4 linked regions of the Lepisosteus oculatus genome follow. The protein of the gene in region 4 purifies or fractionates together with the protein of the main gene of each other region. This does not show direct contact. Links are inferred from orthologs where the notes say so. Each region holds a gene or a part of one and is shown on either strand. Other genes may lie near its edges.

The links.
Region 1: the proteins of F-box/WD repeat-containing protein 1A (region 4) and forkhead box protein N2 purify together in Homo sapiens (affinity purification with mass spectrometry; 3 studies listed by BioGRID and IntAct, counting the BioPlex papers as one, with this or other methods). This does not show direct contact. The link is inferred for Lepisosteus oculatus from reciprocal best matches to the Homo sapiens genes BTRC and FOXN2.
Region 2: the proteins of F-box/WD repeat-containing protein 1A (region 4) and axin1 purify together in Homo sapiens (affinity purification with western blotting; 7 studies listed by BioGRID and IntAct, with this or other methods). This does not show direct contact. The link is inferred for Lepisosteus oculatus from reciprocal best matches to the Homo sapiens genes BTRC and AXIN1.
Region 3: the proteins of F-box/WD repeat-containing protein 1A (region 4) and hnrnpd purify together in Homo sapiens (affinity purification with mass spectrometry; 3 studies listed by BioGRID, with this or other methods). This does not show direct contact. The link is inferred for Lepisosteus oculatus from reciprocal best matches to the Homo sapiens genes BTRC and HNRNPD.

What each region holds. Positions count from the first base shown.
Region 1 is NC_090712.1:12,852,617-12,859,452, forward strand, and holds the start of forkhead box protein N2, read right to left. Parts: upstream 3,026-6,836; 5' UTR 2,956-3,025; coding exon 2,949-2,955; intron 2,758-2,948; exon of another isoform or gene 2,649-2,757; intron 1,681-2,648; exon of another isoform or gene 1,615-1,680; intron 1-1,614. UniProt on the Homo sapiens protein: Binds to the purine-rich region in HTLV-I LTR.
Region 2 is NC_090714.1:607,823-614,896, reverse strand, and holds the start of axin1 (axin-1), read right to left. Parts: upstream 3,015-7,074; 5' UTR 2,868-3,014; intron 2,343-2,867; exon of another isoform or gene 2,170-2,342; intron 1-2,169. UniProt on the Homo sapiens protein: Component of the beta-catenin destruction complex required for regulating CTNNB1 levels through phosphorylation and ubiquitination, and modulating Wnt-signaling.
Region 3 is NC_090698.1:27,393,703-27,400,732, reverse strand, and holds the start of hnrnpd (heterogeneous nuclear ribonucleoprotein D0), read left to right. Parts: upstream 1-4,010; 5' UTR 4,011-4,247; coding exon 4,248-4,405; intron 4,406-6,385; coding exon 6,386-6,554; intron 6,555-7,030. Other genes in the region: hnrnpdl (heterogeneous nuclear ribonucleoprotein D-like), read left to right, coding at 1-41, 517-681, 1,415-1,485. UniProt on the Homo sapiens protein: Binds with high affinity to RNA molecules that contain AU-rich elements (AREs) found within the 3'-UTR of many proto-oncogenes and cytokine mRNAs.
Region 4 is NC_090699.1:35,670,520-35,677,951, reverse strand, and holds the start of F-box/WD repeat-containing protein 1A, read right to left. Parts: upstream 3,009-7,432; 5' UTR 2,901-3,008; coding exon 2,856-2,900; intron 2,229-2,855; exon of another isoform or gene 2,189-2,228; intron 1-2,188. UniProt on the Homo sapiens protein: Substrate recognition component of a SCF (SKP1-CUL1-F-box protein) E3 ubiquitin-protein ligase complex which mediates the ubiquitination and subsequent proteasomal degradation of target proteins. Recognizes and binds to phosphorylated target proteins.

The sequences.
Region 1 (6,836 bases), on a different chromosome or scaffold from region 4:
TCACTTAATTTTAATTTGTTTTTGTGCCATATGACAATGAATGAATCTGCTTACAGTGCCAAAAACTTACTTTGCTAAATGCAATACAGCTGAATTCATTCGGGCCAGCATCAGCAAAAAGAGCATAACTTACATGGCATGTTTTATTTTTAGTATTGGGACAAACTAGGATAAGGCACACATTTTGTTCCTATCTCTGCAACGGCTAACATTTTAACTTTCACTGGTACACACCTTAAATAAAATAATTGACTGTTAAACAAGGGCACACACACCAGACAGTAACCAACTCCACTGATGGTTGAAACGAAAAGCCATTCTAGTCTATATAGCATTCTCAGAGACCGGATTCCATGTAATTAAAAGACAGGTTGTTATATTTTCTGGCTTCTTTGTTTTTATTTATCTACGTAGGTGCCAGCAAACAGCATCTGCTAGACCAACTGGGTGACTGAGCACACCTGATGCACAGAAACTTCAACAGAATAAAGAGCAAACCAGTCTTACAGTCCAGTTCAAAGGTATTCCAGTAACTGTCTTTACGCAATCGCTACAAACATGACAGTAAAGAGACAGGAGAATCCCATATTGATGCAATTCTTCGAAAAGACACTAAAACCACTGGTAACAGCCATGCGTGGCAATGAAACTCTGCCAATGTGCACAGGCCATCTACCACACAGCTCAGAGAGAAACACTTTGATTGGAATGCACTGCAGATCTGGGACATGCTTTTGCTGTTACCTACTACATCATGTGTTCAGAGATTACCCACTTCCAGAGCTAAAGATCAACCTTTGCACTGCTTTTGTGGGATCACCGGGCCTGTCGGCTAAAACCTTCACAACACTTTTGCAAAAGACAAGAAAAATAAACCGAAAGTAAGCCGATTAAACTTCACCGCAATAAACAGCCCGTTGATGCATGATAGTGATTGTTCACGTACTTTCCTGAACAGACAGACAAACTAACGGGATGATATCATCTTGTTACAGGACAGAGGCTGTGGTGGACAAATCTGTTGGAATGTGGTCAGATCCCCACTCCGAGTCAGTGTGACACATGGGGACATACTGAAAGGTACATTAAGTGACGGAATCGGGAAAATGTCGAAAAAAAGCCCCTGGAATCCTTACTGTAGCAGGACTGGGTGCACCATCAATTCTTGTAAACGAGCAACTAAGGGACGCCCAGTACACTTTCCGAGTTATTATCGTCTTTTAGTTTATGGCTATTTCCATACAAGTTCAACAAAAACGCAATGCCAACGGGGGAAAGCAGACTTCGATCCCGGCTGCCGCTGCCTCTCAGACCCTCACCGGGGCTCGCTGATCTTCGCACACAAATCGAAAATCCATTGTTTGGGAGGTGGGGGGGGAAGACAGCGTCTACCCGTCTAGACTACTCCGCGTTGTGTTTATTCGAGAAAAATGCCTAAATTAAAAACACTACGCCGAGATGTCGGCCAGTGCTAAGTATAGAATCGTGTGGGATTCCTCGGGTCCGCACGGCAGGAGCTCTCGCTCTGTGTCTGGCACGGCGCCCTGCAATTTTTTTTTTTCGAAGCAGGGTGCATGGGCGACAAACAAGAGCACCGTCAAACCAGAAACACACCTCATGTGACGAGCGCGACGGAGAGAAGTTGTCGGTACAGCCCTTCCCGAAACCTTTTCTAGCTCGGCCCGGCTCCCCCTGACCACGTGTCTCTGTCACTCAGCGATACAATCTAGCCCCCGATTCACCGGAAACAATGCGCACGGCTCCCTCCTTATACCCACGTTATCTTTATTGGATTTCAACGTGAAATAAAAGTTAAAGCTGTGCGTTCCGGAACGGCCGCGCCGCAGACGTGAGCACGCGAACGGCTGGTTTGCCCACGCGGCACAGCTGCCCTACATTCGAGCCGAGGCGAGTGTTTCCTGATTCCCGTACCGTTTGAGAATGTGCTGGTGAGCACTGCGAGCATTTTCCAAATATGAAGTGCATTCAGCTCGGCTAGTCCTCAAGAAAGTCTCCCAAATAAATACAATGCGAAGCCCGACCCTGCCAGGACTTCTCGGAATGGCATGACTCGTTACAGGAACACGATAAGGGCTCGCTAAGACGAAACGCATTCAATGACCCTGCCTTCTGTTTTGTGGATATACAATCTATCTACACAGTCCATTCTTGGGTAAGGAAGGGGATTACATATAAACGATCCTTTGTGTTTTGTATTACTGGTTCACAATAATACTGTATACTAACAAAAGAACGCTAAGACAGAGGCGTTTCAACTATCTCCCCAACAATGTTGCGTAAACATGTCAAATCCGTCAACTTTATTTCTTCCAATACACCACATTAACTTGCTCTGACCGGGACCGAAGTTAAACCAAATCGAAGCCCAACTCGGAGAACGAAATAACTTACACACAACACACACATTTTTCTTTTTAAAAAAAAAACTGGACCACAGAAGTGGGGAGTCAAGTGTCCCTCCAAATCCTACCATACGTCCTTAAAAGATATATGGAGGGGAAATAAATATTCATCGCGTCACGTTATTAATTCATATAACCCATTTTCTCTTCAGTGCACAGGATAAAGAGGGAGAACTACCCAAAGGCATTGTTAAGCATAAAAAATGAATTCACGTTTGTACTTACATGCATGCACGCTGTGCCTGTTTAGCAATATGGCAGTGAATCTGTATACAGTATGTGCATATAGATGCCTGTCTCTCTCACTGTGTCAGAGATCAGCAGCTGCTTCCTCCATCCACGCAGCGCAGAAATCACACCGCACGGCAACGCTACCAAACCCCCTGCCGTCGCCACGGCAACAAGGCTACTTCAGCCAATCACGCCCCCTCCCCTCCGACGTCCCCTGGCAACTGCCGCAGCGCAGCAACATTTTTAGAAAAGCGCAAGCAACTGCGACCCCTTCCGTACGCCATTTGGGCTCACCGAGCATCTGGCCTTCAAGGGAGAAACGGCCGGCAGTGTAGAAACGGAATGGCGTCAGTTTCAAATCCTGTCCCACACTAAGAACCCCAGCTAGGTAAGGCAGCGCAGAGAACCCGTTTTCATTCAGTAACTTTTCACTTGAGATGCCGTCCTTCACCTTGTGTTCTCTTTTTAGTCTGCACTGAACTCGCACGCTGCAAATGCTTGCGGCGCCGGGAAGGATGGAGCGATGTAGCAGAACACGCTCCGCTTCCCGCGGAGGGAGTGAACCCGGCAAGGGAACGGCGGCGCGTGGCAGAATAGAGGCCAATCGAAAGGTGGGATTTAGAATTTGTGTGCGTCATTTTGGCGGGGAAGTCCTGCCGGCGGGTCTTTGAGCCGTGCGGTCTGCGAAGCGGATGACAGAAGTAGTTAATCTGATACAATGTCGAGCAGTTCACTTATACAGCGCATCTCAAAGAAGAGCCTGATGTGTAACGTACTCGAGTTTATTTAAGATCAATTTCGCCATGCCAAAATAACGAGTATGATAATTACTTGAGTTTATATGGCGCTTTACATCCTAAAGAATCACTATTCCCTTTGCATCAAGGAAGGGACTGTTTTCGTCAACCTCTGAAAATTATGTCTAAAAGCTCCACTAACTATACTGTAGATCAGCCAGAGAAGTGAAAAAAATGCTTCTCAAATTGAATTAAGTGATAAGGAGGCTAGGTGGTGCAGGACCAGAGTATTCAGTTATCCAGGGCATCAGAGCTCATACCCCTACTCTTCCACACAGTGCAGTGCGAACGACTACCTACTGCTCCACAAAACAACCCTTACAGGAGCATTCTGGTTTTCCTTGGAAGTCTCTCATCCCAGAACTGACTAGCTTTTCCTTGATCCTGAGATCGCTCAAGATCAGAAGAGAATTTGCTAACACTGCTGTTGGAATAAGGCTGTGAACAAAAAAATAAAGTGTTTTAGTACATTCCCTTAACCATATGTAAAATGTATTTGGTTCTTTTTCTGGAGACAGTTGTTCGCATAACAGCTACAACCTTTGTCCTGGAGTTACTCAGTGACACAATGGGGCATTTTCTACTGTTATGTTTGCGTTTATACTGTGTTATGAAATAACTGTAATTAATCATGGGTTGCCTTGGTTAATGTTGTTAGCAAAATAAATATATAAATAATTATTCATTCAAAAACCCAAATCCCTCAGGCCTTTCTTGGTATTATAAACTAAGCCAAATCTCTCAAACATCAGAGAATCCTGTTCTGTTAGCTATGAGTCCTAAAATGTTCAGCTTTTCTTCCCCTTCAGACAGATAGCTACTCCTGAAACTGTATCTGCTCAGCCTACAAGTGGTGCACTGTCAGGTTCATTGATAACTAACACGATTATTCTCTGATTTTATAACCATTTTAATAACCCATGAAAAATTATTTTCTGAAATCTTTTCCTGCTCTTATATCTGGGGACCTACAGAGATAGTCCATGTCTCGTTCCAGTCTGGACTGTATTAGTTCACTCCCTGCTGTCTTTCCACCTATTTTGCTTATTTATTCATCTTCAGCCTGATTGATTTCACTGGCTTGTTAAAAGTGACTGTGGACTTTGCAGTGCAGTTTAAGAAGCAGTTTAATTGCTGATGGGGGCTGTTTCTAGGCAGCAGAGCACCTCTTTTGAAGCTGGGGTGCTGAGCTTTGTTTGGTGAAGCCAACAGCAGAAATCATTCACACTGTTGCTCACAGAGGATTGCCAGTGCACCGTGTACTTTTAGTGTCCTGGCTGTATTCATGACTATATTTCCATGGCTTCGATTTGCTATGGTTTCTTTTATACTTTGTCATGTGACTTGTCTCATGTTAGGTGGAGGAGGGCAGAAAAAGCAGCAGATAATACTTTCTGGTTCAACAAAACACAAGGCTGCTTCCTGGCATAGCTGTGTTTATTACAGGAAAGACAAAGTGTTTTAAGGTAGAAATTGGTTTGAGAATCAGACGTGTTTAGAAATTACACCACTCCAGTCAGACAGCTCTACAGTGCCGTTTAGAATAAAACTCCTGTGATAAAATGTTTATTGTGTAATGTAAATGTTGACTGTATGTTATAAAAATTATAATATAATGTAAAAGTATATATATATATCAATACCAGAGCAAGGCATTGGGCCAGAGCTTATCCTGGATTCTGTAGTGTTAAGCAAACTGGGAGCACTTGATGGGACGGGACACTGGTCTATCACTCTGCACAGTAATGCATATAATGTTCCCATTTGTACAGCTGGGTGGACTGGAACAACGGGGAGCAGTGCCTTCTCACTCTTCCTCACAACTGGATTGTATCTCACAGCTGTTCTTCTGTGTCTGCGTGTGCATTGCTGGTGCATGTCAGGGTGAAATCATAGCAGCAAAAGAGTCACACATGGGTGTCATCTACCTGGTGCCCCAGGGAATTGTACAGGTCACCCTTCACACTTCACCACTGCAAGAATCATCAATGTCCAGCACATTTAAAAGGCTATTCAGCAAGCTGAACTACATGATGTGGCAAATCATGTAAGCAAATCAAAATGGTTTAGGCCCCGGTTGAACTTTCCAATAGCTATGGAGTATTTCTGATCTTGGCAATTGGGTGCAGGGATACATATTTTGAACTAATTACACCCTGGAATTGTGTAGGGGACGATGTATCTTTTCAGGGTTTCCATTTGAGGTATGCAGCCTGTTGTATTTCTGTCATATGCCTGGGTAACTGTCAGGAATTCTGAAAGTAATTCTCAAGCCTCGTGTTTGATATTGTTGAATGAATAGATATATTTTTTAAATATCCATTATTCAGTTTTTGAACAGTTATGTAATGCCTTAATTACCTTTTACAAAAATGAACACCTCACCACACATCCAGCTCAATAAATACATTAATTGCACAACATGTATCAGATTTATAACTACAGATTTGAGTGGCTTGAGTTTGGTGAAAAGCACTCATAAAATTGAATTACTAATTAAGATGGAGAGATCTATCTATCCAGGTTATCTACATACAGTAGACAGATAATTTTATGTTGTAAACTAACTTACTCAAAGGTCAAGTTAACAATAAAGCAGGTACTGGAAGCATACTACGATGCATGAATCATGTCAAAAAATCCTTAAATCCCTGATAATTATTTCCTTTAGTTGTGCTCATTCTAGTCAGAACAATGTTATTTAGACAGAGCTATTTATAGAGGCAGCATGAATGGAATGGCAATGGTTCTGATATCAGTCCTGTAGTGCTGAGACAGCAGGTCATGCAGAAAAATGAAAGACAGCACTCCATGAAAACAGTCAATTCAAGTAGCCTTCCTGCTAAAATGATTTGTTCTGTGCTACTGACAGTAATAATGTGATTTATGTGCTACAGATGGAGGGGATGCAATTTATTTTATCGCGTGCTAAATTGTTAATGATCAATACAACCAGCAGATATTCCAGAGTGTCCTGCATTGGCTGCCATTCGGGTTTACTGGTTTAGCTCATCCACAGACATTCTCTCAGCGCATTATTATCTGAAATGAAGATGGATACTGCAGCCTTGCTAATGCCATTTAATCTCTGAAATTGGTAGGCTTTCAGAACGAAAGGGAAGCGACTGATTTCTGGGAGTACCATCTCCTATGAGAAAGAGAGCGAGTGTTTATGTCTGTGTTAGCTTGCGCCAATATGTAGAAAGCATATAAGAAGCGCACTCAAAGTTTAACAGCATGGCAAGCACCTCCCTGGAGACTGCACTCATTAATGGATCAGAGTGGCTCATATGAATGTTTGCTTAAAGTAGACAGATCAATAGAAGGGTGATGCTGAAGGGGGGCTTATACCCTGTGGACTACTGGAGGAGTGTGTGTTTGGCTA
Region 2 (7,074 bases), on a different chromosome or scaffold from region 4:
AACAATAATATGAACAGAAAAAAAAGAATACATGTTCAAATGCTTTATAAAGTGACTCAAGGAAAACTATACCCAACCTGACAACAAGACAAAATACATATTTCAAAACATCTGACAGTAACTGCGCCAAACACCAAGTACTGATCTAAAGGGGTGTATAAAAAAGAGTTACAATAACTCCTGAAAGCTCAAACACCAGCTGAAAAGCTAGCAAAAGGTAAGTGAGTTCTCTGTCCACACTCTATTGTTACACCTGCCAATTTAGATTTACACTGCTGTGTATGGTCTGCTTGAAATAGGCTTATCTTAAGAAAGGCCAGTGATTCAACAATAGGGCCATTTAGACATTAAAAGGAATGTAAGTTTATTGTACATTCAAAAATGTCATTTTCAAGATGCACTTTTATTGAAACAAATCTACAGGTACACTGCACAATGTGGTAGCATAAGAAGTAATTTTCGTATGTGATAATAACAATAATTTAAATAAATTCACACGACTAGGCTAGTTTATAAGTAACATTGTGAAGCAGATGATGTGATCCTACTACTAATTCATCTCAGATTATTTTGTTGTTTTTAACAGAAAAAAGAAGATTTTTCATCACAGTTGGGGATCTGGGCTACACTATGCTGGTCTGAAATCTTTTGATTTTGATCAAGACTAATGAAGTTATTTGAATGAAAAGAAGAAGGAGTACTTGTGGGTTTGAGTATTGATATGCTGCTCTTTTTTAGTGCTGTCTTAAAAGAGCAAAAGTACCAAAAGACTGTCACAAAATGTATTCTGGACTCCTGCTGATGTCTTTTGTCATCGCTGAATATCTCATGACTAGCAAACCCGAGAGTGGATTAGCCACAGTGGATTAAAAGATTTGCCTCCTAGAGTTTATTTAATATTGTTTTGCTTATTATTACAGAACTACGTTGGAAAAATATGCATACATCTTCAAAACCGGGTGATGTCCTTCTGTTAATTTAGTGTATTTGGAGAAAGGCAGTATTGACTCTAACCCAGAGCTGTGCCTCCAAAGGCGGTACACTTTGGACAAGGAAAGCCTGATGATGAATGAACACAAGGAAAAAAGCACGAAAGCTCATCATGATCTGTGGTGTGTTAGTTTTCAGATGCGCTGATAGCAGTCGAGCCATTGTTGTGCTGCCCAGTTAAATCCGCTGGCTGACTGCAGCCAAGTCCGCAAGAGGCACGAAAACTAGGAAAACAACAACAGCGCACCTACCATAGGAAAGCACTCCACAGCACAACAATTGATTTCAAGATGAATGCAAGCTGGGAAAGCTGTGGGCATGATCCCGACTCCTAGCCTGATCTATGGAGTTACCCAATGTTTGTATTTTTCTATCGGGTGTTTTCCGAATAAAAAACGGTTTCCGATTGCTTTTTTACAGACCGTGGCGCGTTACGCACACTGCGGTATGTATGGCCGCCATCTTTAATCATAACTGGGTTCGTTTGCGAGTCCTTTTTTCCTTCCCCACTGATTGTTATGGTGGTTCTTTCTTCTGACTGACATCACATTGCAGTATCGACAGGCTCACGGGCCGCGCAGCAGGAGGTCTCTGGGATATGGAGCTCAGGCTGGCCATCGCTGCCGTCCGGCAGATCCGCTGCCTACATTCAAGCCTTGCTTAAACATAGGGATTGCAAACAAAAATTCGTCCCAGTTCAAGTGCCTTTGATCTCATAAAGGCCTCCATTTACAGCTCCTTAATAGAGGCTTTTGAAAATATCTTTTCTCAGATGTTCCGAGTAATGAGATTTAGAATACTATGATTAATCTAGGCCCGCTTTTTTTTGTACACACACAGACGCACACTCTCATTCAGCCAAACTGACTTGGTCGCTTAATTCTCCCAACATAAGAATTGGAAAAAATATATCGGAACTATGCGAGAGCCCAGCTGGAGTGCTTTGACGGCGCTGTTTTTAACAAAATTTGATCTGAAAGGCCTACAACAATAATTTTAAAGTCTGGCCGACCCGCTCGCCCCTGCCCCTTCCCTTGTTTCATTCATCTTCTCGCTTTTTTTTTTCGGAAGCTGAACGTTAAAAGACTAATCTTGTTTACTGTCCCTGTGTTTTTGATTCACAGAGCACTTTTCGAAGAAGAATGAAGGGAGTTAAATCGGTAGGGACGATGCTCTCACCTGCCTCTCCTGCTGAGTAGTTCGTCGGGTCTGATTTTCGTGTTCCGCCATGACTGGGCGCAGTCGCCTACTTGCCACCCTGAGTACTTACTTATACTCATGAACCTGTTTCTGTTTCTTACTACTGTGTTGCTGAAAGATGTGCATCTTTACTTTATGTTGCAGCTTTGGCTCTCCAACCTGATTGGATGACGCAAGGACCAGATGATAGTGCTTAGAACCCTATTGTAACTATGGCAACAGACCCCTTAGGCATGAGTGATTTGCTCATAATTGCTGGATAAACATACAAAATAAGGCGCTATTTCAGCATTTTATTGTACTCCACACTAAGAGTATAAATGACAATAAATAAATCAATTGGCTTTCAAATAACAGCTAAGCTGAGCAAGTTCGATCAATGGACCAGCCTGCGCCGAGAAAGGCAGAGGAAAAAAAGAAAGAGACTTGGTAACATAATGCTTTTCCTATCATCCGCTAGTATCACTTGCTGCGTTCATAAATAAAGAATAAAGTTGAGTTTGGTTTCGAATCAAGAGGCTGGTACGTGTCTTATTGAAGACGAAGAGACAAAGGAGAACAACAACAACAAAAAAGGTGAAACAAGACAAGAGAGGGTTCAAAGATAAAAGTGAAGGGGAAAAAATGGGAAAAAGAAATAATATTCCCTTTGTACCAAAGTGTTATCAGCTGCTTACCTTTCATGTGGATTTCACACTCGCTTGTCTGAGGCAGCGAGGGTCAAGCCCAGCAAACCCTTCCCACAAGATCCGATTTTCCACTCACACTGTCCAGCAGCCTCCGCGTCGGCTGCCACTTACATTTGTGTCGATGATGCTGCACGAAAACATTTTGCATAAAGGTGTCGGGTTTTGTGCGTGCATGTTTGAAACCCATCTGTGTGTGGATAAATGTACTTCAATAATGCGCTGGGAGCTGCCTCTTACAGTGACCAAACAGGCTATGTTTGCAAAATGGAGATAAAGGAAGAAATTCATGGATTTTTTATTCAAAAGAGCAGCATCTAGCCTTTAGTTTGAGTTGAACTCATCACTGTTGAGGTGGTGTGTGTGTCTACAGCTATAAAGAAAAGTTGCCAGTCCGACTAAACACAAAAATAATCAGGCTTGTTGAAATGTTAATTTTCATTGTCCTTTTGACGCTACCTGGCAGTACGACCAGGGTTATGTAACTTTGTTAATGCTTTCTCTTCAAATATGCTGAGATTGATGGCACAAAGAGAATCGTGGACACCTTTGCTAAATTGTGTATTTTTTATGTACTGTTAACTTAGAAATTACAGACTTTTTTCCAAGCAGAAATGATTTTATTTGAAATAATGTTGTAATATTCTAATATTATATAAAGATGAGGAAAACTACAAATACTATATTGGTTTACAGACTTGACAAAGTAAAGGACTTTTTTACAGAACAAAAATGTTTTTATTCTTTTCATTCTGTAACCCAATTGTTCTGTGTGCAAACTGCGTGCAAATCTAGATTTTGTAAGGTGTGTGTTCTGAGTTAGTGTGCATCACTGCTCTGAAGTATATTTCGCTCTGTGTAGGACTTTACAAAGTTGAAGCAATGACCTCGTCCGCCTCTAACACTTCTGGAAGTTAGGAGCTCCTCTAGCGCTGTGGGATGAACACGGATTAAAGGGCACAGGAAGCACTGCAAGATCCCTCTGTCCTGTCCTGCTGTAGGACAAAGAAGAGGGAGCAAGGACTTCACAGTAATACAGGACTGCAATCGCGAAGAGAGAAAAACACCCCAAATTCTCAAAAAGGAAAATTTAAAACATGTCTTCACAGAAAAGATTGGGGGTTTAAGAAATCTTCAAATGAATTGATGATTTGGATATTTTGTGGATCTTGATAAGATATTTAACATTCCTATTTGTCCTTGAATTAACTAAAACTTTTTAATAACTTCTTGCAGGATAAACCATGAAAAGACAGGGAGAGGTCAAGTAGTGTAATTACATTTTGTCTGCTGAGGTACACTAATCTTTTAAATAAGGTCTCTTGCTCAAGTTAAAACAAAATTGAATGATTTCACAAATTTGAGTGGAAAGTTAAGGTGGTTTATATAAGACCTCTGGTCTAACAAAATGAAGATGTGACAGACTGCTTCTACATAAAGAACACCCACAGCCAAATCTGGAACAAGGTTTTTAAACAGATTACTGTGTTTCTTCAGGCATTTACTTAAAAGGCTGGGTGTAATGCATTTTAAAATAAGGTGCCACTGATAAAAAAGAGGGGCTGTAGCTAAGTCAAATTGAGAATTAATTGACCTTTGGGAATTAATTTGTTCATTTGCTGTTTAATCATACTTGTTCTTTATGAATACATCAACTATTGTCCATTGGAAACTATCTCTTAATAATAAAAACATCTCGCTATGTCAAAACTATTGCCCATTTTAACCAACTAAAAATAAATCTACACATACATCACAGCAGAACTCTTCATGTTAAGTGTTTTCTCGATATACATGGGGAAGTAGTTTCCAGGCTGGCTTCCTACAATTACATGTCAATTATGCATCAAGTGTTTCATTACAATGATTCTGTATTACTTCAGGGGTGTCTTATGGAGAAATTTAACAGGTTACGTATAGCTGCAAAAGTGAACAAATACTCAGGTTAATCCGAATAATCCACATTGCTTTTTACTGCGTGACACAGCATTGAGAACAGCATTGCCAAAGTCTTCTGTACTGTTACATACATTCAGTGTTACACTTGAGTGCTAATGATGTCAGTCTGCAAGCTGTAGTGCACTGAGGAAACAGTGCTGATATCTAACGCTCAGATTTACGGACTTCAGCACCCTATTAGGCCTTTCAGCCTCTGCGACTCACTGCACTGCCCGATACGGAATACACCTCCCGACCACCAGTCTGTTTCTGACACCGAAAGTTTCCGAGTAAGCACTTAGATAATACTTGATACTACAGTATAGACTGAAGTAAAGCTCTTCTGTCATAAACAGAAACAGATTAATTAAATACTAGTTTTCCAAAAAAAAGAAAGAGGGTGAGAGGAATGTTCCAGTTTTTCAAATAGAATCATTACAAACATTTCCAAATGATATTACAGGTGTTTAGATTATCAGGAAATTCATCACACAGCAAATCAGCGTGACACTCACAAAAAACTGTAATGTGTAATACATTCCATTTCACACTTGACCTCTGATGAATCTGCAAGCTATAGTGCACTCAGGAAAGATTGCATTATTAATTTGGATAACACACAACATCTGCCAAGGGAGAATTTCAAAGATTTTTCTTTCCAGTTCTCCTCCTTTCAAGAAACACTAGACTGAATTTGATTTTTGCTTTTCAATCAAATTGGTACAGTTTGTATTTTCTAAACAATTCAGAAAACTAAGAGAAACAGCTTTCGGCTTCATATGCTGTATATCCATCCCCAGCCCCCCTTCAAACCTACACAAAGCTGTTACAATATAAAGCATCATTTGTAATTCTTGAGGGACTGAAGTAATTTGGCCTGTAGTCACACTGAAATCATGGTCTTTTCAGTAAGTTCTTAAGATACAACAAATGTCAAGGTTAAATCGCTACAGATCTCTCCTCATGATTTCCGAGAAGTGCTTACACAGGAGTTGCATTGCTGTTAACATTCTCTATTCACTTTCTGTTTCTGTATAAGAGAAATGCATGTATCTGATCAATTTAGTGCAGAACTATTGAACTTGCAAAGTAGGTCTATTAGTTTCCTTTTTTCCCTAAAAAGAGTGCCACATTTCTGGGTTAACATGACAAGCTCTCACAGAAAGGCCTGATTCTTCATATAGTTACAGTACCCAGTACCCAGTAACAGCACGTGGGCTGCAGGCACTGTATACTACCTTCTGATATCAGTGTTACCACTATCTGGGCTGTTCTCAAGAGATCTAGAAACTAACAAAAGCTGGTCCTGGTAAGCCTGGGATGTTAGACCTGGTCTGTTGTGTAGTGGGGCTGCTGGGACCACATCTCACTGTAGAAAGGTAATGATTCAGGTGATTTCTAGTTCACAAGGGACAAACTCTGAGTAGAGTTACAACAGTTAAAACACTTCAGAAGAGCTCTCCAACAATGTTCCCAATGACTGCTGAGCTCTGTCCAATCTTCTGATCATCACTGTACAGTACGTTCATTTTCTTTCAAGACGACCACATGAACCACTGCAGACCAACTGTATATCATGCGAATAAGAAACTGCAGAACGGTTCAGATCAACCCACTGAGGTGGCGTTGGGAAAGGGGTCCTAGCAGGGCGGTCTGAGCATTGCAGAAATATCTCCTTCGGGTTTTGGAGAAATGGGCAGCCGCAATGATAGAGAAACTCAAATCCCACCAGTAGTCTTGCTCAACGTGCTCCTTAACCCTACAGCTGCCACCTTCCCTGCTGGCGATACTGAGCCCAGCCTCGCGCCAAGTTCTGTCCCATCTTCACAGGTTGGAGTCCAGCTCCCATCGACACTTCACATACAGCCTCGCCAGCCACGAGAAGGAAGCCTCTGGCTTAGTCTCCAGGAACAGCAGTTTGTCTCAGTGTTCTGTGTTCATGCACAGTAGGCACAATGCCAGCACCTTTATGCCATCAACGTGTCATACCATACCCATCAAGGTATTCAAAACAAAAACAAAAGTTAAATCAAGGTCTGACTTGGGAGCCAAAAAAATATGGCAAGTCTTCTTTATCAAACAATACTTCCATTTAATTCCAGCAGATACGGTACACCGCAGGGTCGTTTGTGAAGTAGTGTTTACATGTCCTTACAATAATGATCTTGTAAGATCACTCTGAAACCGAAAGTGAATGATCTATTGCATTTTTCACAGCCTAAAATTGTTTTGTAAGGAAATCATAGTACCATTACTACCT
Region 3 (7,030 bases), on a different chromosome or scaffold from region 4:
CAGCTTTGGAAGAGGAGGTTCCAGAGGAAGAGGCCGGGGAGGTGTGTTCCACTTTTACTCATTAAACTCTATCATTCTTTTTCTGCTGTCCCTAAATTCCAGGTGCTCATTTTACAATCCACACATCCATATTTAAAAAGGTTGCAGGTTTCACAATACTTAGCACAATGTCACAAGTGGAATACGAAGTACATGTACAAAATCAAGAGCCAAATGATTTGCTAAATCTTGGTTATTGCAGCATGAAGGTTAATCTGGATTGGAAACTTCACTGTCGGCAGTATTCAGTGAACATTTTAAAGTGCAACTACATTGTTTATCATGCTAAAAGCTTAAATACATCTTTTGCTTTTACAGAATTAGTGTAATCCCGTCTAATTGTTCTTAGAACGTGGCGTTCTGGAGTTCTGTTCCTTTCTGTATCATTACATCTGAATTGATTTCTCAAGAATTATCTGGCAGTTCTGTGCTTGACAAATTGCTCACTTTGAACATGTATTCATTTGTCCATCACAGGTCAAAGTCAAAACTATAACCAAGGCTATAATAGCTACTATGGTCAGAATTATGGAAGCTACGGCAATGGGTACAATCAAGGATACAATGACTACAGCGGCTATGATTATTCTGGGTACGGCTATAATAACTATGGATATGGACAGGGATATGACGACTACAATGGTAAGCAGAACTATTCATTACAAATCACCCGAGTGTTTAAGTTATAAAATTACTGTGTATTTTTATATCAAAAGCACATAACCGGCCTAGTATGTACAATAATGAAGATCAGTAATGTTGCCTTGGATTTTTATTTGCTTTGTTTACGCAGACAAATTTCTTAGGTCTATATGATAGCAGATGGTCACTATGAAGTTTTCAGTACAGCAAATCGATTTTTTGGGGGGAATTTGAAGTTTAAAATAACTTACTGTTACTTGGGCCCTTGTTGGCAAATTTACCATTTGAATCTTTTTAAAGCATAATCCCCATTAATAACTCCCAATAAATTGATTTGCTTCCGGATTTGTAATTTTTACCATTATTTGGTTATGGATTTGGATTGTTTCCTTGTCATTCATGCTTTAATCTTAAAATTAAGCTTATATTGAAAATTGTTAATTTTAATATGGGAATACATGTTACACAAGTGTTCAAATCATTCTGTGATTATTTTAAAGTATGTATGAAGAAATACTGGTGGAAGCAGTTAAAGTAGGTATATTCAGTGTGGAGACTTGTACAAAAAATTACTTTGTATAGACATTTATTCAGAGATCTTTTGTACCTTTTTATATGGTACTTGTCCATGCCACTACTTGAATTCCCCAAGGATAGGGTGCAAAAAGTGTACAATTTCTGTATGATGCACTAATGTTTATTGAAGTAAATGACAACTTTTATTTTTAATTAGGTCAGCAAAGCAGTTACGGGAAGGCTTCAAGAGGAGGCGGAAATCACCAGAATAACTACCAGCCATACTGAAAAGAAAAACTAAAGGAAAACCTGCTCAAGGAATTTAGGTAAATTGAATCCTAACCCCTTGGCTGACTTCTAATAATTTTAAAGATCAATAGACAACTCAAAAAAAAAAAAACCTCCTTCAAACTTTAAAATGGTAAATATTGCCATGAACATCATCCCGAATGTTTCATTTTTTTCTTTAACAACTGTCTATAGATCTTTAATATGCCATGCTTTCTCTGGCAGTTTTTTTTTAGTTCTCCAGAAAAACGTAAGGGTTTTTCTGTAGGTTTCCTCCCTTTTCTCCTTTGATTTTTGTAACAGGTGATCATGTGGAAGTAACATAAAGAGACTTATTAGCAATATTAACAGGTAAAGTACTGCTAAAGGGTACAAATTAAGGGCCTATCTTTACTTTCCTTCTTCCTAACTCTGATGTTGTACCTTGTTTGTACCTGCCAGCGGGAACTTCATTGCAGGCCGTGTGTCACCCTGACCACGTCATTCTCTGGGCGTCGCACATAGCGGGCAGAGAGCACGGCATGCACAAGAAAACGCTGTCCTGTGGTATGGTCTCTTCCAACTTCCTGTACCAGCGTAAAGATAAAAAAATAAATAAAAAAATGGAAACTTCAGACTTTGCCTTTTTATTTGACAACGGCTTAACTTTTGTGTAAATGGTTTTTTGCAGGATTTGTGTTTAATCTTAAATGACTTAACTGTTTAATTGTATTCTGTTTTTATTTTAGTGTCGTTCTTGTATTTCAGTTCTGGACCTTCAGTGATTTTTGTTTTCTAAAATAAACTTTAAATTGCTTAAACTTTTAATGCTTGCTTTTTCTTTATAGCCAGTAGAGAAACCTTCAAATGATAAAATAACGACTTTTTTTAAAAATGTAGGTGTTCGGGATCATATGTAAAGAAGCTTACTGAAGCCAGCAAAAGCCATTCTGTAGAGGTCAACTGTGTGCACTATTAACCTCAATTTGTAACTGCCTGAAAGAGGGTTCAAAAGTAGTGGGGGGCGGGGGGGGTGGTTATGAATTGCTCTTCAGTGGTAAGTGCATCTGCTTTAGAAATGGAGCTACACCTAAGCTTTTGCTGGCTGTATCACTTCTGCCAAGCTGAGTGTGATACATATGATCCTTAACACGAGAGAACTTCATAGCTTAAAGTTGGCAGCACAAGAGGTTAATCAGTGAAACCTGGCCGTGTTCTAATTTTCGGTTTTAAAGTGCATGGACACATGGAATTAATGTGCGCTGTCTCTTCTCTTTCAGGTGAGGAGCCCAGATGAGTTTTCTGCTTGTTACCCTGGTGGCAACTGAGAGATTCTAGTCCTTTTAAATCAAGAACAACTGTTTTTATTTTAAGATGACCTTGTTTTCTAAATTAGAGGCAAAGTTGGCACCAGCAGGTGTCTGTTTGTAAATAGAAGCTTTCAAGTTTTGTTGCTGGAGTTGGCTCATTCATTCCTTGCCATGTTGGTGTTGTAATGAAATATATTTTTGTTTGTTTTGTAAAGCGGTCTTTACATTTTTATGCTTTTTTATTTTGTGTTTTTTGCAGCCATGAAGGGAATTAAAGAGTATGGATACAAAAATGATCCTGGTGTGATTATTTTGGGAACTAAATGCACTGTTCAGTAGCCATTCAAATACTTAATCTCAAAACAGTGTTTCACTTAATGTTTTGAGCTTTTATTGATTTTTGTGATAAGTATTCGTTTACACCAAGTTTTTGATTGTGGAATTATTTATAAATGCAAATGATTTTTTAAAACATCTTTGAAATTCCTCTGAATATATTGCCGTCAAGTTGAGACGTTTTCAATTTTTCAGTTGGCTTTTAATGTAATTTACTCAACGTAAATTGTAAACTTTAATTCTCTCTGATGTTTTTGAACTTGATACTTCTCATTTAGAACATTTTAAATAGTAGATGGCTCACCGATGGTTTATATCGGGGCAAAAGGCCAGTATAGGGACTTACTGTACACTAAATAAAACTTTAAGTACAGCAATCTGAAACAAACGGTTGCGGGTTTTACGAAGACTGCGGCCTATATAAAGGTAAACATGCTAAGGTCCGGTTTGTTCCCTTGGCTCATAATAACGGCCCGCGGAATCAGGAGGCAGGTTTCATTGAAATTGAATTAGGTCAAATAGCTGTATCCAGGACATACAGCTCTACCTTTTGAGAAGCGGGGCACATTCAATGCTACGCGGTCTAAAAATGGTCGGTTTGTTTCGGCTTCACTCTATTAATCTGGATAATCAAGTACTTTTCCGGAAAAATCTCACTTTAGCTTGAAAAGTCGAGCTTTTCGTTTTAATTTCTCATCATAAGAAGACACATATTCTATTAATCGGGAGCGCTAGTTGAGTGTTATGAGTTTATTTAATGTGACCTGCATTTCAAGCGGTAGAAAAACTTGAGACCCGAGCGACTGTGATGAACGGCGCAGTACAGCGCTTCCCCTGAAGAGGGCTGCCTGCGATTGTGTCATACTTGTCCGATTGGCCCCATGCCGAACGTCGACGAGTGCTTCCTTCCTGCGACCATTTTGTAAGCGGCGCCATTAAGATTCAAAGAGCACTGCGTGTATTGAAATAACTGTTAAAAACAGTAGAAAAACAACTGGCCCTTGTTGCCAGCGTAAGACCTCTTTCACTTGATTAGTGCGTCTTCCAAACAGCACGCGTTTGCATTTCATTCTGGAGTAAAAGGCAAACCGGTTGAGAAAATATACCAAGGGTAGTTATTTCTTGTGCAATAAAAAAATGTCGGAGGAGCACCAAGTCGGAGAGGACCCGGTGGTGAAGATGGAGGAAGACGGGGAGGCGGGCGGAGAGGAGCAGCAGATGGCGACCGGAGAGAGCGGGGCTTCAGAGTCCGAGGGATCGAAGATCGACGCCAGCAAAAACGAGGAGGATGAAGGGTGAGAGACGGACGGAGACCCGACACGGACTCTGTAGTCTCCAGGGCGAACAAGGGGCTGCGGGCAGTACTGTCACTGACGATGCTACCACAGAGACAGGTCATCGACAAATGGGTCCCGTAACGTGTGCTGCATTAATCTGTGTTGTGCAGCGTAATCCGTAATGTACAACAGCAATCTCGAGTGACGCTGAAACCTTTGTTTTTAAATATAAAATGTCTCGCTGTAGCTGGCGATGTCTGGTACTCCAGTTGGAGTAAACTGCGGAAAATTAGTTTTTCTTTTTGCAACAGTACTCCAAAACGTGAAGCTGTACCGCATAATTTATCGCAGTCCATTATAATCACGACATTATAACAGAGTGGGATCAACTGGTGCCATATAGTTTATAGACCATTATTAAATCTAAGGGCGTTTAAACGGTATTAAAACGCACTTGAGAACACTGGCAGTGAAGTGTTATGACTGATACACACTTCTACCTGGTGTGGAAAGTATTTCTGGAAGTTGCTATACAGTTCATGGCTTTTTAAGTATCGTACAGAGTGGGTATAGTAACGTCAGCAACCTGAATAACCGCGCGGTGGTTCAACTGGGTCACACCCAAGTGTCAGCTATCTGAAGCGAAACCGGTTTGTCCTCATGAGACTCAACCGGTTTCGTGAGTGATGCTTGCTGAGGATTTGCACCCTATATAGAGTCACGGTATAGGTATACTTAGAATGTTTTTCTTGTGTTTTTCAGTTGACTAAAACGTTTACGGTGCAGACGCAGTGATTACTTAACTCGGATAAAAGTGTTACTACCTCACCCCAATTTCATTTTCAGTTGTAAATTGTAGATTTACTTTGATTACCTGCTACATTGATACATATCGCACTGTCTAGATAGGTATTTAAGTGCTCAGGAATGCAAATCAGTATTCTAGGTAGTTTCACGGTGTGTAAACTGTTAAGATATCTGGTTTTAAGCACAACATTTAGGAAGTGTTATCAAGGCGAGTGGCATGCTGTGCCATAGGTCCTGGGTTCAGTTCTGGGCAGGGGTGTTATATGGGAGGAGTTTTCACATTATTGCTGTTGCTCAGGTAAATTTTGACATGTGGTCCAGTTTCCTTCCAGTTAAGAAAGACATACTGACTATACGAGTTGTAGTATTTACATTTAGAGTGTCTTTGCGCCCTGCAGTGGTCTGGAATCCCATTCAGAGCGTCGTCACCCTCCATGTTCTAACCCCTCTATCTGACTCGGGGTCGCAGGGGAGCCGGAGTCTATCCTGGCAAGTAGCACGGGTGCAAGGCAGGGTACGCCCTGGATGGGACGCCAGTCTATCACAAGTCTATCACACTGCGCACACTCACACCAGGGCCAATTTTCCAGAAGCCAGTTAACCCACCAGTATGCCTTTGGACTGTGGGAGGAAACCGGAGCAGAACATACAAGCTCCACGCAGATAGTACTCTGGGAATTGAACCCAGGGACCGAGCACTGCTAGGCTGCAATGTTTACTACTGCACCACTTTGCTGTTCGAAGACAAAATTCACTTAGGCAAACAATTGTATTATAAGTTCAGGTGGGTAGCTGCGTCAGCATGCGTAGGCTGCAAAGGAACAAGTAATAGGTTTATTCCATGCTGAAAAAAAGAAGAAAGAGAACACAACGTTTCGGCCGTGGAGCCTTCTTCAGGTGAACACCTGAAGAAGGCTCCACGGCCGAAACGTTGTGTTCTCTTTCTTCTTTTTTTCAGCATGGAATAAACCTATTACTTGTTCCAATTGTATTATAATGTGTGTCTGCATCAGCATAAGAGCATGATGTGATGCTTATACCATGTTAACACATTGTCTGGTATGGCACCCAAGACACTGTTAAACAATACATCCATATATGGTATGTGCACATGTGGTTGCATGTAAACCTGTTCCTATGTTTTTCATCCTTAAAAAGATTGTTTTTAATGTACTTTTAATTCTTTAACAGAAAAATGTTTGTTGGAGGGTTGAGCTGGGATACAACGAAGAAGGACCTGAAAGATTATTTTTCCAAGTTTGGAGAAGTAGTAGACTGCACACTAAAACTGGATCCCATGACTGGACGGTCCAGAGGATTCGGCTTTGTATTATTTAAAGATGCTGACAGCGTTGATAAGGTATTTCTGTTTCTGAGGTTAGCATGCTGCCAATTTGCTAGAATTGCCTTCATAGTAAATGCACAGGCTCTCTCAAACATTTCTGCATTGTGAAGGTACTAGCTTATAGTGGTTACAGCTACTACTTACTTACAATTTTACTACCAGTTACTCACAAAGAACTGCTGTTCTAAAAGCACTTTCCATTTCGAAGATGTGTAGAGATTTTCCAACACGGTTATATAAAAGTACAGATTATTTTTTAATGGGCATATAATGCTGATTTCAGTCCTGTGCAAATGTTTTTTTTTTCTTGAGGATATCTTTCTTTAAGCATATTATACTGTGTATAATTTACCGATACGCTAAATGAAAGAAATGTCTTTTTGGTCCATGATCCTACATTTTACATTCCTGATTTGATCAGCAAATAATTTGTATGCCTAGGAAAACCATAGCTATTTTTATGGTTTGAAAAAAAAATAGAACTAATCAAG
Region 4 (7,432 bases):
TCAGCACGACTAAAGTGGTGTATTTCTGTTATGTACTGCATAATAAATTACAACTTCTCAGAAATCGGACAGCAATTGAAAAGTACAGACTGGATACAAGAGGCAGCACTGCACATTAGAAGTACACTGTACTGTGAAATTATTGTTTTTGTCAATAAGGTGCTGGTTCATTTTTGGCTTATGCCTTAAAGATGATATTGTATCAGACACTAACTGTACCATCAATAGACTGAGTTCTCAAGGAAAATACAATTACAAAACCACATTCAGCTTGACAGGCTTTCAAGCTAGCCCCCATGTCATAAAATACAAGTTTTCGACAGCAGCAGTATGCAGTATACTCCACTTAAAAATATCAAAAGGAAATTTCGAACCATGGCTTGCAGAGAAATGGCATTCTGCATTATCATAATTATGCAGCCACTAGAATGATACATACTAAGATGTTTTTGTTACAGGACATGATTCACCAAGGACACGAATACCTGGCGTGGGCATATAAACCAAAACCTCAACAAAGCAGTCTGAAGCTGGTTTACATGTAAATAAGACAGGCTAAATTTCAATTAGCACAGAGCTCCCCCAAGACAGGCAATTTTAAAGATCCAGAAAAAAATGGAAGCTAGGCAAGTAATTTGGTTTCTACAAGGATCCCACATTCCAAAAATTAAACACTGCCATCTGAGAAATGTCTACCAGAATTGGAGTTAAATGGCCAATAGTACAATCTGTGGTACAGGACACACACCAACAAAACAACAAAGTAATTGGCATCCTGATGTATGAAGGGATCCTAATTTGCTATACTCTTAACAGCAACGTCATTACAATGATATACAACAGGTTTTCACTGGCAAATTCTTGGAAGAAAAACAGCACTACAAGGCACCAATTCACCAAACAGGTGATGAACTACTGCTGCAATGCACTAGGTGCAAGACTGAAGGAGATGTCAGCGTAATAAACCATGTCATGTTTCAATTCAATCTGTGCAGCATTTCCCCCAGAAAGAGACGGTTTCCAAGCTTCAGGAAAAAAATGACAATTCTTTATTGACAAAACAGTATGCTGATGTTGGAAAACAAAATGGCGGTCAGGCAGCCATCTTGGTTTAAATGAGAACCTGCTTTCAGCATGTTAACTGTATTCGTGGGCCAGTAACATCTACTGAGTCTACTGAATTAAATGCCCAAGTGTTTGCTCAGAAACAGTCTGTGTTTTGACAAGACAACTAAATAATATTCAGAAAGTCAAGAAGGCTAAGACAGGAGTGCTGTTCTAACCAAATTATAATCATCCTGACAATGTTTATCAGATTTGCACTTACCCAATGTTTCTGAAGAAACGTTTTTCACAAGCAGCTGATTTTACAGTGACCATGTTCTTGAATGTAGCAACCTGAACAACCTTGAGAAGGGAACCTGGCCTGACTTATGTAGTTATACCAAATCTCATTCCAGTAGGCCAAACCGTTTGAAAGATGTCAAACATTTATTGCACATCTCACACTGTGCAAGCCATTGGGCAGCCAGACATTGTGACTTCTCAGTCTCACTTTCACCAAAACAATTTCTGATAGGCCATCACAATCCTTTGAAAGTTCATTCATTTTTGTTAAACAATAATGATTTTCTACACATTTGGAAATGTTGGTAGATGAATAAAACAAGCAGAACAATAACAATAAGTGTCCAGTAATGTTGCCTGGAAGCCTGAGAGGACCATCCAACAATAGGGCAAACAAACACAGCTGTAATGAGTTGTGGACTGAACCTGACAAGTGAGAATTCAGTACTGTAAATACTCAGTCTGAGTCAGAAGAACTCAATATAAATACAAACACTACTGAGATGAAAAGAAACCTCTTACAAAGTCTACAAAATCTGGGAATTAATATTTTTAGTGGTGCATGCCAAGTTAATGTACCTTAAACCATATCACATATGCAAATATCTTATATTTACACTATACATATAAATAATGTTTATTTAGACTATGAATATGAATAATATTTGTTTTTTAAAGGGGTAAGCCCACTTGCAAAGCCAAATCTGTGCATTGAACTACTCTTTAATACCAAAGGTAAGTATTTAAGTGTTGGCAGTCTTTTGAAGTGTGGTGTGGATTACAATTCTGAATTACATTGAATTCTCATTTTATGTCAGAATTCAATATAATCCACACTAACCTGTAATTATTTCAAGATGAAACCTCACTGTTCAAGATATCTGAAGGACAAAACCATCAATTAAAAGAGCGTATCTGTAGTTTATATTCAACACAGACAACATTAAGACTTAATTATACGTGACCACTTGTGCTGAAACACAACACAGGACACGTCAAGGAAAAATATGAAATACATCCACCAGTAAAACCTAACAAAAATGGCCTATATGAAAGACACTATATCCAACATCTAAAAAGCTAATATAAGAGTATAGTCTACACCTCAATTAAAGTACACTTCAATAAAATTGATACAAATATTAGTTGACGTAACATAAATTCAAGCGCACCGAATCAAGCATAATGTAAACACAGGCCAAAGCTAAACATCCACTGGGCAGAAAAACACATCGATTACTTCAAGCAAACAACTATCAAGATCAACACACCAACACATAATATTCATTATATTCTCTTCCCTGAAAAGATCTCATTTAGCTTACGGATTTTTTTCAATAAATAAACGTAAGTTTATTTTGTCTGTTTATTTATCATAGTCCAAGATGGCGGCTTGACCCACCGGTACATTCATTTCCAGCACAAACCGCTATGGACAAGCCCAAACCTTCATCTCATTTGGGTTCTGTCGAGTGTCAGAAACCGACTTTGCCCTGTCATCTCCTCACCATAAACTTCAGAGCCTTCTCTTGCAGTACCGTCTCTGGTTCCATCGTCAGTCTGTCCGGGACTGGTTCTCTCTCAGCCCCGGGACCTGCGTCTCTCCACTGCCGCTGCTGCAGACAGGAAAATCCGTTCCACGGCACTCACCCCCCAGCGGCCCAGGCTGCACGGCTGAAACAGAATTGTGGGGTTTGAAGTTTCTTCAACCCTAAATATTGTGTATGCTCATATCTCAAACACTACAAGTCCCAGTTGCGCTATAAAAGCCTTTGATGCATTCTGGTAGTTCCTGTTTTATTTACAATAAGCCTTTACGTACTACAAATCCCACTAAGCGAGTGCGTTACTCTGGGATGTGTAGTTTTTCGATCTTTTGTTTTGTCGGTTAGTTACGCATTTAGTATAATAACTGGATACATATTTTAATCTAATATTATTTTTTTTTAAAGCTGAAATGCGATAATTCTGCTATTGTAGTATGTCTCGTGTTTTACATACAAGCGATATTTGATTTAATATGGAACAATTAAAAAAAGAAACATTAAACACTGGTTTGGCCATATCCAGTTTGTCATATATAGAAGTGGACACAATCGTGGAATTATCCAGTGGTGTTATATATGACAGCACAGCACATGTGTATATTCTATCATGTGTACTGATTACATAATAAATACGTGTATTGATAACTACCCAAGAAGTGAATAGTTAATGTGCAAATTCCATTCTGAACGTCTGCGTAGTATCGTATACGGATTAGGTTTTCCGGTCATTTAACCATTCTTTATTTTAATTTCTACTTTTATTCTCCATGGATTCTTGTTCTATGCTGCAATGCTCTTTTGATCTGGTTCTGCTATGGTATGCCATAATATGCTTTTATGATGTGCTGTATACTAAGTGCGATGTTAAAGCTGTATTATTATGAACTGTAAAATTGCTTTATTATTAATTTTAATTCATTGTTATTTAAAAAAAAACACATAAAATATTGCTTCACGTCGTTTGTATCCCGGATTCGTTTCATGCTCTCTCAATTTTAATGTCTGCTTTTCCTGGGTGTTCTAGTTTCCTCCCACCTGCCAAAGACATGGTGGCCAGGTTAATTGCTGTCTTTAAACTGTAGCTGCACCTGTGAATGTGTGTCTGTGCTCTGAGACTGGTGTCCAGTCTAGAGAGTAGTACTGCGTTGTGCACTGTTTTCAGGATAACTCCAAGCAGCCCTTAGGAATAAGGTGCTCCTTGATCAAGAATAGATGGAACTCCAAATATACAGTTTGACATTACAGTGATAGCACTATTATAATTTCAGTTATTAGTAAAGATATTACATGAAGTTAGGTGAATAGTACATAAGATGGTGTTCAATTAATTGCATTATTATTATTAGTCGTACTGTATATTGCTTTAATTAGTAGATGTCTGAATTTGAACCCAATGATAATGTTAAAAGCACAGCTAATACACTGTGGCTGCAACTCTGGTGTCCTGGAAAGAAAGGTTTCCAGTAATGTATGGAAACTTTGCTATTTATGGTTGTGTTTCTACTGAAAATAAATACAATTTATTACATTTGATATGATATTTTAGCAAACGTGAACCTTAGTAAGTCAGTCCTGGAATTTTGTGGTGGTAAAATAGGACCAGTGGGACAGCTTAAGGCAAAGCTACAAAATAAAGGTAGTCCACTTTTAAAGTTTGACTAAAATCAGACAGGCACTGAGACAAGGCCAGTATGAGCTCTTCAGTGTGCAACTACAGTATGTATGGGGTCTTAAATTCAAACACCTTGACTAGATTTCTGCTACATCATAAGATAAAATTATTTCATGCGCAGATTCTAGGCTTGCTGTTTTGAAACTGTCTTATTACTGTCAACAGGCTCATGTACTATTGACAGATAAAATCAGAGAACAAAATACCAATCCAAACAACTTCCTAGCAGATCAAACCATCGTCCATATAGTTTCTAGTTGTTTGGGGTTGCCGCTGTGTGACCGTACCTCAACACTTCTTATCAATAGCCTTTCAGATGTTTTTCCAATGTATCATTAACAATTAAAGCCGTAACTGTTGTATACCATTTAAATAGTATGCCCATCTGATCCTCTATCCTAGCACAAGTAGCTCGTGTCACCACCGAGAAAGTCAAGAAGTGACAAGGATTTCCAGGTCAGAGCTGCATTATTGTTACAATGACCATCATTTGTAATAGTACAGGCTCTAGTATTATAGTAGTAAGCATGGCTGTGGTTGCAGTGGTAACATTGATGTAGATTGTTCAGGTTGGTATTAAAGCATTGTTCTCTTGCTAAATCTATGCTTTAGTACATTTAGTAATATTTTAGTAATATATCCTTTCTTTTACTTCTTTTCTTATTCATAGGTGCAGTATAGATATTAAGGACTATTCCCTTTATTGCCTTTTCATTATTATGATCCATGTTGTGGGCATATCCAGCTTGCATTTGTCATTTAAACTATATTCCAAAACAAAGTAATTATAAATAAATCTTTGTGCACATTAATTATTGTTAATAATAATAAATGATTAAACTTTTCAACAGTGTTCATGAATATGCAATCATAGCTCCCATGAACAATTGACAGATTTATAGAAGAATCAACAAAATGAGGTGTATGATTTCTCTTGATTTATGTCAGCAGAAGAAAGGATTATTTATTGCCAGGCTGCTGGACTGGAAGATTCATCCTCTGTAAGAATCCGATTGTACAGCAGACACTGTGCGGGAACACAGCTATGACTAATGGCTCCTTTGCATAGAAATGAGAACTCATGGACCAAGAACTGTAAAAATACAATAACTCAATTGACAGCTGATCTCTTTATCATATGCATAGGCAAGCAGCCTATTAATTTTTAACAGACAAATAGTGAAGTTTTTTTCTGGCTGCTTTTTTTTTCTTAACACAATGAGCACCAAGTATAAAATATACATTTTTTTCTGTACTTACGAGTTTATTCTAGAGTGCAGCAATGCATAGCTGGAGGGTATTCTGTGCCAATGTGAAACATATAGTGTTTCTTGAATTCTTTAAAGGACCAGTTTGAATCAACTTCCCCTTCCTGCTATATTCATCCTGACTTGTTTTGTGCCTTGTTGTGGGAGCAACCTGCTGGGGTTTCTATCTACATGTTTGTTTTTGCCATTAAGTGACTATCCCAGTAAGGACGGGTTCTTGAAGACAAGGGTTTTCCAGAAGGCCCACCAATCTTAGGACATTTTGAAACAGGACATGTTTTCTACAGTCATATCTAAGATGAGAAGTGTTTGCCTTAATTACTGTATATTTTTGCTCAATTTCTAGATGACAGAATTATTTAAAGTATGATACTCATAATTAAGTTCAGAATTGCTCCATTAATTCAGTACAAGACTGGACTTCATTGCATTATGTTTTCAGAAAAGTTCTATCTGAAGTTATTTTTTCTGGAAAGGGTAGCTAGCACAGCAAATAGCAATCTAAGCAGAATAAAAAACATCATGAAAATAAAGAAATAAAAGGATATAAATATAAGGATATAAATAAAAGGAAAAAAAAATGGATAACATACAGTATGTCTGTAACTCCATGAGTCATGGATATATACAGGGGTGTAAATTTCCAGGAGGAAATAAATGTGGACAGTCCTCAGCTTCATGTGTCTAGTTGTGATGCTCAGAATATCTTTCTCTTGCTCTCATGGATGAATTGTAAATTTGAACTGAAATGTAATTTGTTAGGCAATCACCTCACCGCAGGAGCCAGCAGAAAATGAGCCTTTCAACTAATTTCACATGGGCTATGTTTTGCATAATTTAACATAATAGAGTCTTATACCATACTTTAGATTAAAGATGAGTAGTGAATTGTAAATTATATACATATACTTTCTACACACAAAAAGGATGGAATAAATGTCTGGTCCTTTGCTTTTTTTTCCCCTCAATTCCCTTGGTGTAAACTGTTTTACTTCCCAGGATTTAGGGACAGAAAAGAACATGACATATTTTACAAATATTCTGTTGAAAAGGGCTATGTAGGATATGGTCCTGTGATTGGATGTGCAGTGTGTAGTTTGGGAATGTTGCAAACTAGTTGGTTTTTATCCATGGTTGGAAATACAGCCATAAATGTACAATTAACTAATACCAGGCCACAGAAAAAGCAGGCCTGCCCTGCGTTTCTTTAGTACTTTAGTGAAAAAATAAATAAAAAGGCCATTGGATGCTGTTAGCAGAAGTTTTTAGACTTAACTGTCTTCTCCCTTTCCAAATGTACAGTTTGGTGTTTCAAAAAAAGTGTTATATTAAATCTTTACAGCTGAAAGGAAAAAAGTTATGATTTTACATAATTCGATTTTAATTAGTCCTTTTAGTCAATTGTAACTCCTCTATTTTTGAAGAATTGTAAAAATATAGTTGATCAAGCACCTACAGTGCCTTGCGAAAGTATTCGGCCCCCTTGAACTTTTCAACCTTTTGCCACATTTCAGGCTTCAAACATAAAGATATACATTTTTTATTTTATGTGAAGAATCACCAACAAGTGGGACACAATTGTGAAGTGGAACGAAATC